Neurospora crassa OR74A: one gene and its partner. The main gene of each other region encodes a partner of the protein of the gene in region 2 in a complex. Links are inferred from orthologs where the notes say so. Each region holds a gene or a part of one and is shown on either strand. Other genes may lie near its edges.

Region 1 (3,144 bases), on a different chromosome or scaffold from region 2:
CGGCTATTGAATTGCCCCGTACTAACCTGTGCAACTATAGACGATCAGTTGGGCCTGGTGCTCGATACCCTTGAGGGCGACTATACCCTTGTCATGGTATCAGACCCTAACGAGTTCAAGGCTTACCAGCCTGACTTTATCGAACCAGTCCATATGGATCTCAAGCGCGGACAGTTTAGCTCTCAGGAGGGCAGTGACAACGGCAACACCACTTATGATAACCGCCCGCTGTTTGCGAAGTATCAGTTCTTCACTCCTGGTATGTAATCATCATCTCAAGTCGGCGCTTTTTTCAAGGCAGTAGACTGACACTGAACCAGGCATTTTCGTCGCCCTGCTCGCTCTCATTGTCATGCTCTCCATCCTGGGCGTCGGACTGAAGGCTCTCGGTAGTCTCGAAGTCTCATATGGCGCTTTCGACAAGGAGATGGGACCGACTGCACAGAAGAAGCAGCAGTAAAGCGCTTGGAGGCCCTGTTCCTCGTGTTTTGTAGGGTTTGGGATGCAACGAACAACAGATGTGCATGCGGCAGAACACAAGTTTTGTTTTGCTATGGAATCATGCTATGTATATGGGTTTGGGGGACAGGCCGGAGTTCGAGGGTTCTTGTTCTTGGTTGGGTATCATTAAAGCATTGCGCATTCGTACACTAGAACAAAGCAAGATGGGAATGAAAACAAGAATGCACGCATGAGCAATGATATGCATGAAACATGGGCAATAACTAACTTTGGAAACTTCAACCTGTCACCTTGGTGAAATGATTTTTTTTTTTTTTTTTTTTTTTTTTTTTTTTTTTTTTTTTTTTTTTTTTTTTTACGCCGCTGATATTTGCCAGATAATCCTCTATTGATGTTTTCCCTTACAGAACGCCTTGAAAGTGAACAAGTAAAATGCTGAAATAATTAACCGCCCCTCAAGAAATCATTCTCGCCATACTCTAGTCTCTTCAAGGACAGGACGACTCCTGCGGTAGCCCTTAACCAACCCTGGGCAGTCACCCAAACCATCCATCCATCCATCCATTCATTGCTACCCGCAGGTGGCCAGCCTTCTGGCATCGCATGCATTCCCCGAGTCCGTGTGGTAGGAACCACTTCTCCATCTCTACCACTCCTTGGTGCTTACTATCCGATGAAGATTCCCCGATTCTCCAACAGGTCTCTGGCAACCAGTCCAATTAGTCCAGTTGACACGACCATCCCTGAAAACGCCTCGCCTTGCTGCCTCGCGCTCCACACTCATACCAAGTGGCTAGGCAAGAGGAAGTTGGCCACGCCGTTCTTGACGGCGTACTCGTGTCCGCAGTGGCCGCACACGAGCTTGCCCTCCATCATTTGGGTCTCCATGAGCAGCTCGTGCAGCTCCTTGAGGAGAGCCTCGTCGGACTGAAGATCCTCTGGCGAGGGAGGCTGCTCGGGGAGGGTGGGGAAGCCGAGCTGATGTGTGTGTTAGTTGAGGACGTCGTTGAAATGCTGTTGTTGTTTGGGGTGAAGTGAAAGTGTGGGAGGGTGAGGGAGGTGTGAGATGGACGTGTGGTATTTCTCTGAAAATTGGGGATGAAGATATATTGTAGCTCCATATCGAAATGGTGGGTCGGCTTTGAAAATACAAAAAGAGTTCAACGTACTTCGGTAGAAGTAGTCCGCAGAGCAGCCCAGTCGATGCGAGGCAAGACATTGATCAGAAGTTGAGGGTTGATCTCGATATCATCTTTGGCCAGCTCGGCCTCCTTGGGGTGCAGCGGGAACGAGTCGTTGGATGACTTGCAGTTCTTGACCGCGCAGGTCAGAAAGTTGAGTGTCATGACCTTCATCTTGGTGGGTTTTGGTTGATTGAATATTATGTTTCTCAACTAGTTTTGGATTCGGCCAGCGAGACCTAGAGTTTCGGGGAAGATAGTGAAAAGATGTTCAAGGTTTTCCTGGTCGTGGTTTACGAGTCGGTACTGTCTTACCAAAAATGTAATAAAAAAAAAAAAGTTCGATATCCCAGCGACTCGAACGGATAAAAATGGATCCACGTGATGCTACTTTTATGCTTCGACTTACAGACACGCCACTACATCGCCGAAGCAACCATCACAACCATTACCGCGACTGATATACATGGGAATAAAAGCGAACTATCCGATGATTTCATTTATGCCCATGATTTGATCCTTTTTTTTCTTCTCCCTTTCAACAATACTCGTCTGGGCTACTCACGCCCGCCCAGACCCTGATAGCTACCTGTTATGCAGCCTTGTCAGATTTCAAATATTCGAGATATTGCCTACTCCATGCCCTTTCCGTACGTACCCTTAGGGGCGCGACGAAGGCGAATATACAAAACGAGACCTAGAACTAATACACCAAAGAAGAGGACCTTGGCGAACAAGGGAGCACCAGTGTCATCGTCGTCGGCGGTGGCGGCGGGGATGCTGTCGTGCGCAGGAGGCTTGGCATCGGTAACAGGAACAGGAGCAGCAGGCTTCTCGTCTTCGTTTGCGTACGCGGGAGATGCCCATTCCGACTGGCCTTCCAGGCCTGATGAGAAAAAACACCGACTCATCAGCACATGGACTCATATACACGGGTAAACGGTCATAGGAACAAAACGATCCACAATTGGACACCATTGTAGGTATGAGGATCCAAAAAGTTTTGCTTCTATATCCTTTCCTCTTTTATATGACTTTTCCCACACAGGTTTATGAACAGTTAACGGTGGGGAAATGGGGATTCGCAAGGATGGATAGAAGACGCTTTTTAAAGCTCCACATGGATACCTTCAGGGGGAACCTCAAGCTCGCCACTCTTGGCGATCTTGATAGGCTCAGCAGGAGCATCGCGAGGACCGGTCTTGGTGTTCTCAATCTTCTCGACGACATCGTAGCCCTCGAGGACCTCGCCGAAGACGACGTGCTTGCCATCGAGCCAACTGCGACAAAATGTGTATTAGCCAACCGGGCACTTCCTAGACCATGCGGCTCGAGTGTATTCGACTTACGAGGTGATGACAGTGGTAATGAAGAACTGGGAGCCGTTGGTATCCTTGCCAGCGTTGGCCATTGAGAGGAGACCCTTCTTGGAGTGCTTGAGCTTGAAGTTCTCATCGGGGAACTTGTCACCATAGACTGTACACAAGCGGTCAATGATATG
Region 2 (4,310 bases):
CCCTGTCGAAGGGGGGCTGAGAGCCAAGTATGTCGCGGCCGCCAAGGATTTCAGGGCGCCGTACTTTGATTGGGCTAGTCAGCCTCCTAAAGGAACGCTGGCGTTTCCGGAGTCCCTCTCATCGCGTACCATACAGGTGGTGGATGTCGACGGGAAGACCAAGAGCATCAACAACCCGCTGCACCGGTTTACTTTCCACCCGGTCAACCCTAGCCCTGGTGACTTCAGCGCGGCGTGGAGCAGATACCCAAGCACGGTCCGGTATCCAAACCGGCTGACAGGGGCATCGCGGGATGAGCGGATTGCGCCCATCTTGGCGAACGAGCTGGCGTCATTGAGAAATAATGTCAGTTTGTTGTTGCTGAGCTACAAGGACTTTGATGCGTTCAGTTATAACAGGTGGGATCCGAATACCAACCCGGGTGATTTCGGCAGTTTGGAGGATGTGCATAATGAGATTCATGATCGGACAGGCGGAAATGGACATATGTCGAGCCTGGAGGTGTCGGCTTTTGATCCGCTGTTTTGGTTGCACCATGTGTATGTGGTCACTCCCCTTTTCCCTTTTTTCTTTGCATCGGTCATGCCTGACAGGCCCCATTCCGTTATCGTCGCTGACAAGAAGCCCTTGATCTGAAGTAACGTCGACCGCCTCTGGTCTATCTGGCAAGACCTTAACCCCAACAGCTTCATGACTCCCCGACCCGCTCCCTACTCGACCTTCGTCGCACAGGAGGGTGAAAGCCAGAGTAAGAGCACGCCTCTGGAGCCGTTCTGGGACAAATCTGCTGCCAACTTTTGGACCTCTGAGCAGGTCAAGGACAGCATCACCTTCGGATACGCGTATCCTGAGACGCAGAAGTGGAAGTACTCGTCCGTAAAGGAGTACCAGGCAGCCATCAGGAAGTCTGTCACGGCGCTGTACGGGAGCAATGTGTTTGCCAACTTTGTTGAGAATGTCGCCGACCGAACGCCGGCGTTGAAGAAACCGCAGGCAACTGGCGAGGAGAGCAAGAGCACCGTCTCGGCTGCTGCTGCTCATGCAGTTGAGCTTTCCGGGGCCAAGAAGGTCGCAGAGAAGGTCCATAATGTGTTCCAGCACGCTGAGGAGAAGGCGCAGAAGCCGGTGGTGCCTGTTAAGGATACAAAGGCCGAGTCGAGCACGGCCGCAGGTATGATGATCGGCTTGAGCATAAAACGTCCATCCAAGCTGACAGCTTCACCAGGCCCAATTCCAGAGAGCCTCAAGTACCTCGCCCCAGACGGAAAGTACACCGACTGGATTGTCAACGTTCGCGCCCAGAAACACGGTCTGGGGCAATCCTTCCGTGTCATCGTCTTCTTGGGCGAGTTCAACCCCGACCCAGAGACCTGGGACGACGAGTTCAACTGCGTCGGTCGTGTGTCCGTGTTGGGACGGAGCGCCGAAACCCAGTGTGGCAAGTGCCGCAAGGATAACGCAAACGGTCTGATCGTCTCAGGCACTGTGCCCCTGACCTCCGCTTTGCTGCAGGATATTGTGGGCGGCGAGCTCCAGAGCCTCAAGCCTGAGGATGTCATCCCGCATCTGCGCGCCAACTTGAAGTGGAAGGTGGCCCTCTTCAACGGCGACGAGTATAATCTGGAGGAGGTTCCGGACCTCAAGGTTAGTGTGGCTTCGACAGAGGTGACTATCGATGAGGAAGGCTTGCCACATTACTCTCGCCAGTATACCGTCTATCCTGAGATCACCGAGGGGAAGCCGTGCGGACATGGCCCAGAGGATCACATCTAAAGGGGGATTCAGCATCAGAACGTAGGAAGGTCCAAAGGGGGGGGTCCTGTAGGGTGAGATCAAGAAACCGGGTATCGTTATTTCAGCCGTAAAAGAAATGGCAAAATCCAGAACAAAAAAAGACATATTTTTTCATCGCCGTAACCACCCAAACGCCTTCCCAATGCAGATGTGAATAAGAGACAAACAGACCCAACAACCCCGAAGCTCAGAACTGGATACGACGCTTGCGACCAGTGTACTTGGAGGTGGCTTTGACAATCTTGCCCTTGCGCTCCATCTGCTCCTTCTTCTTGATGATCCAGCCCTTGCTGCCCTTCTTGATCTCGCCCTTTCCGCCCTTGCCCTTCTTTCTCTGGTCAAGGATATCGACGCCGTCCATGTTTTCGACGACAGTGCTGATGTCCTTGCCACCGGTAGCGTCCTTGCCGACCGTGAGAACCAGGTAAAGTTTGACGTTCTTGGTGTTGGGGTCGTCCTCGAGCAGACCGGCGCCGAAGCCAGCCTTGACGGCGGCGGCAGTGATCATCTGCTTTTGTACGTCGTTCTTGGGGTAGAACTGGCAGACGGCTCTGCCACCACGTTTGAGCGAGGCGTAGAGGCCGTTGAAGAAGCGCGAAAGTCTGGTGGACGGGGCGGTGTCGCTGGTTTCGGCGTTGCATAGCCATTGGATGGCACTGATGCTGATGGCGGCGTCGAAGGAACCGGCGCGGAATGGCACGCCCTGGCCAATATCTGCGAGGAAGAGATCGCCCTCGACGTCGCGCTGTAGAGCCGTATCCAACATGGACGGGCTGATGTCCATGCCAACCCAGACGTGAGGGCCGCCTTCGTCTTCGGGAACGTCCGAGAGGATCTCGCCAGAGAGGCCACTGCCGCAACCGATGTCGAGGATGAAGCTAGGAGACTTGAGGTCGAGGAGCTCGAGGGCACGACGGGTCATGGAGGCCTGGATGTTCTGGATACGGGAGCTGGTGGTGTACTTGCGAGCTTCGGTGTCGTCATAGTGGACATCGGCCGCGCTGGTGTTGTTAGCTTTGGGGCACAAAACGAGGAGGACGGGAGTGCTTGTCGCGAGGCTGTCGTCGAGTCGTGGACCTACAGGGTATCTTCGGGGCGAGACATGTTGGGCTGGCTGGATTGAGACTAGACAATTACAAAACAAGGAAATTGACGACTGGCTAGAGGAGAGAAGTGATTTCTGTCCAGGAATGCGACAAGCAGAAGTGGAAATGCGCCGACAGCGGATGGATTGACAGGATGGTGCTGCTGGTCAGCCTGGTGCTGGTGCTGGTGCTGGTACTGGCGAGCGGTGTGGTGGGACACAAAAAAGTTTCAATGGGCCCTTTTGGAAGTGGGGTTGTTCTGGGGTTCCGCCAAGGGCGATCGCTGGTGGGATTGGCGGCACCTAGCTTATCGACATATCCTTATCGTACCTTAACGGCCGCCAATTCCAGCCCATGATGACATTCCTCGCTTGCAACCTGAACCGTCACGGTCCGCCCCACTTTAAAACACGGTCTGTTTAATTGAACACGTCAGGGGTAAGTAGCAGTGACCCTCCGGGGAAATAGGGACCGGGAGCTTCCATAGGGTACAAGGGGTTGTCTCCAGGCTCACCACTTGGCACCAGCCTTGAGCTTCCTTTCTCCAGAAACAACATCTCCATAACCCAACACATTGCCATTCCTTCAGCTTGGATGACCTCCCTACCACCACCAGCCAGTTCCCATATTATGCCCGTCTAATTCCAACCCAATCAATCTTCTATCTCAACATGTGGATTCTGCCTCTTGTTGGCTATCTCGGCTCCATCGCGGGCTTCTGTTTCCTGACCCTGGCTATTGGTACGTCTTGCTCCGTGAAGCTGCCTGCTGCGGGAGACCGGCCTGCATTTGCTAACAAGGCGTCCATTGCACCATAGCCTCGGGTCTATATTACCTGTCCGAAGTTGTCGAAGAACATACCGTTGTTGCCAAGCGCTTTCTTACTCGACTTATTTACACCATCATCGTCATCCAGCTTCTACTATGCCTTGTCGACCGATTCCCCTTCTTCCTAACACTGCTCAGTGTTGGCTCCCATGTCGTCTACTTGGGTAATATGCGGAGGTTCCCCTATGTCAAATTGACAGACCCGTTGTTCGTGTTGTCATGCGGTAAGCTTGAGCAAACAAGCCCCTTTTCAACCCACATCAACTCCCTCATCTCGTATGCATCTGCTGACATTGGCTGTTCCTGTCAGGCCTCGTTCTCGTCAACCATTACCTGTGGTTCAAGCACTTCTCGCGTCACCAAGAGCGCGCCTATCAAAACATGACTTCTTACTACGACATGCCATCCAATGTTCCCACCTTCACCGAGATCGCATCCTACTTCGGCATTTGTGTATGGCTGGTTCCTTTCGCCCTCTTTGTCAGCTTGTCGGCAAGTGACAATGTCCTGCCCACCATGGGTAATGACGCCTCTTCGAGCGGTGGCGCTGGCGGCGTCGGTGGTGATGGTACAAGGGCAAGACGAGGGCAGGGCCTGATCAA

The links.
Region 1: the proteins of NCU00777 (region 2) and NCU01201 are in contact, whole or in part, in a crystal structure (PDB 4QTT), measured with the Saccharomyces cerevisiae proteins. The link is inferred for Neurospora crassa OR74A from reciprocal best matches to the Saccharomyces cerevisiae genes BUD23 and TRM112. Residues at the interface, in NP_009976.1 of Saccharomyces cerevisiae: Pro47, Cys48, Ser49, Phe50, Asp70, Val72, Cys74, Ile78, Leu83, Leu87, Glu92, Gly93, Asp94, Leu95, Met96, Leu97, Gln98, Asp99, Thr102, Ile104, Pro105, Phe106, Arg107, Gly109, Ser110, Phe111, Asp112, Arg139; in NP_014444.1 of Saccharomyces cerevisiae: Met1, Lys2, Leu4, Thr5, Asn7, Phe8, Leu9, Lys10, Ser12, Lys14, Asp17, Phe23, Ile40, Asn43, Glu45, Phe46, Asn49, Ile50, Arg53, Val54, Asp55, Leu101, Asn123, Gly124, Ile125, Pro126, Asn127, Leu128, Leu129.

The regions. Positions count from the first base shown.
Region 1 is NC_026505.1:3,221,258-3,224,401, reverse strand, and holds NCU01201 (trm-112), read right to left. Parts: upstream 1,967-3,144; 5' UTR 1,818-1,966; coding exon 1,632-1,817; intron 1,441-1,631; coding exon 1,243-1,440; 3' UTR 807-1,242; downstream 1-806. Other genes in the region: NCU01202 (hypothetical protein), read left to right, coding at 41-259, 321-460; NCU01200 (peptidyl-prolyl cis-trans isomerase B), read right to left, coding at 2,276-2,529, 2,772-2,923, 2,993-3,119. UniProt on the Saccharomyces cerevisiae protein: Acts as an activator of both rRNA/tRNA and protein methyltransferases. Together with methyltransferase MTQ2, required for the methylation of eRF1 on 'Gln-182'.
Region 2 is NC_026501.1:7,208,232-7,212,541, reverse strand, and holds the start of NCU00777 (methyltransferase), read right to left. Parts: upstream 3,108-4,310; 5' UTR 2,900-3,107; coding exon 2,877-2,899; intron 2,797-2,876; coding exon 1,983-2,796; 3' UTR 1,775-1,982; coding exon of another isoform or gene 640-1,774; 3' UTR 541-639; coding exon of another isoform or gene 1-540. Other genes in the region: T (tyrosinase), read left to right, coding at 1-540, 640-1,774; NCU00778 (sed5 vesicle protein), read left to right, coding at 3,552-3,621, 3,699-3,932, 4,019-4,310. UniProt on the Saccharomyces cerevisiae protein: S-adenosyl-L-methionine-dependent methyltransferase that specifically methylates the N(7) position of guanine 1575 (m7G1575) in 18S rRNA. Requires the methyltransferase adapter protein TRM112 for full rRNA methyltransferase activity.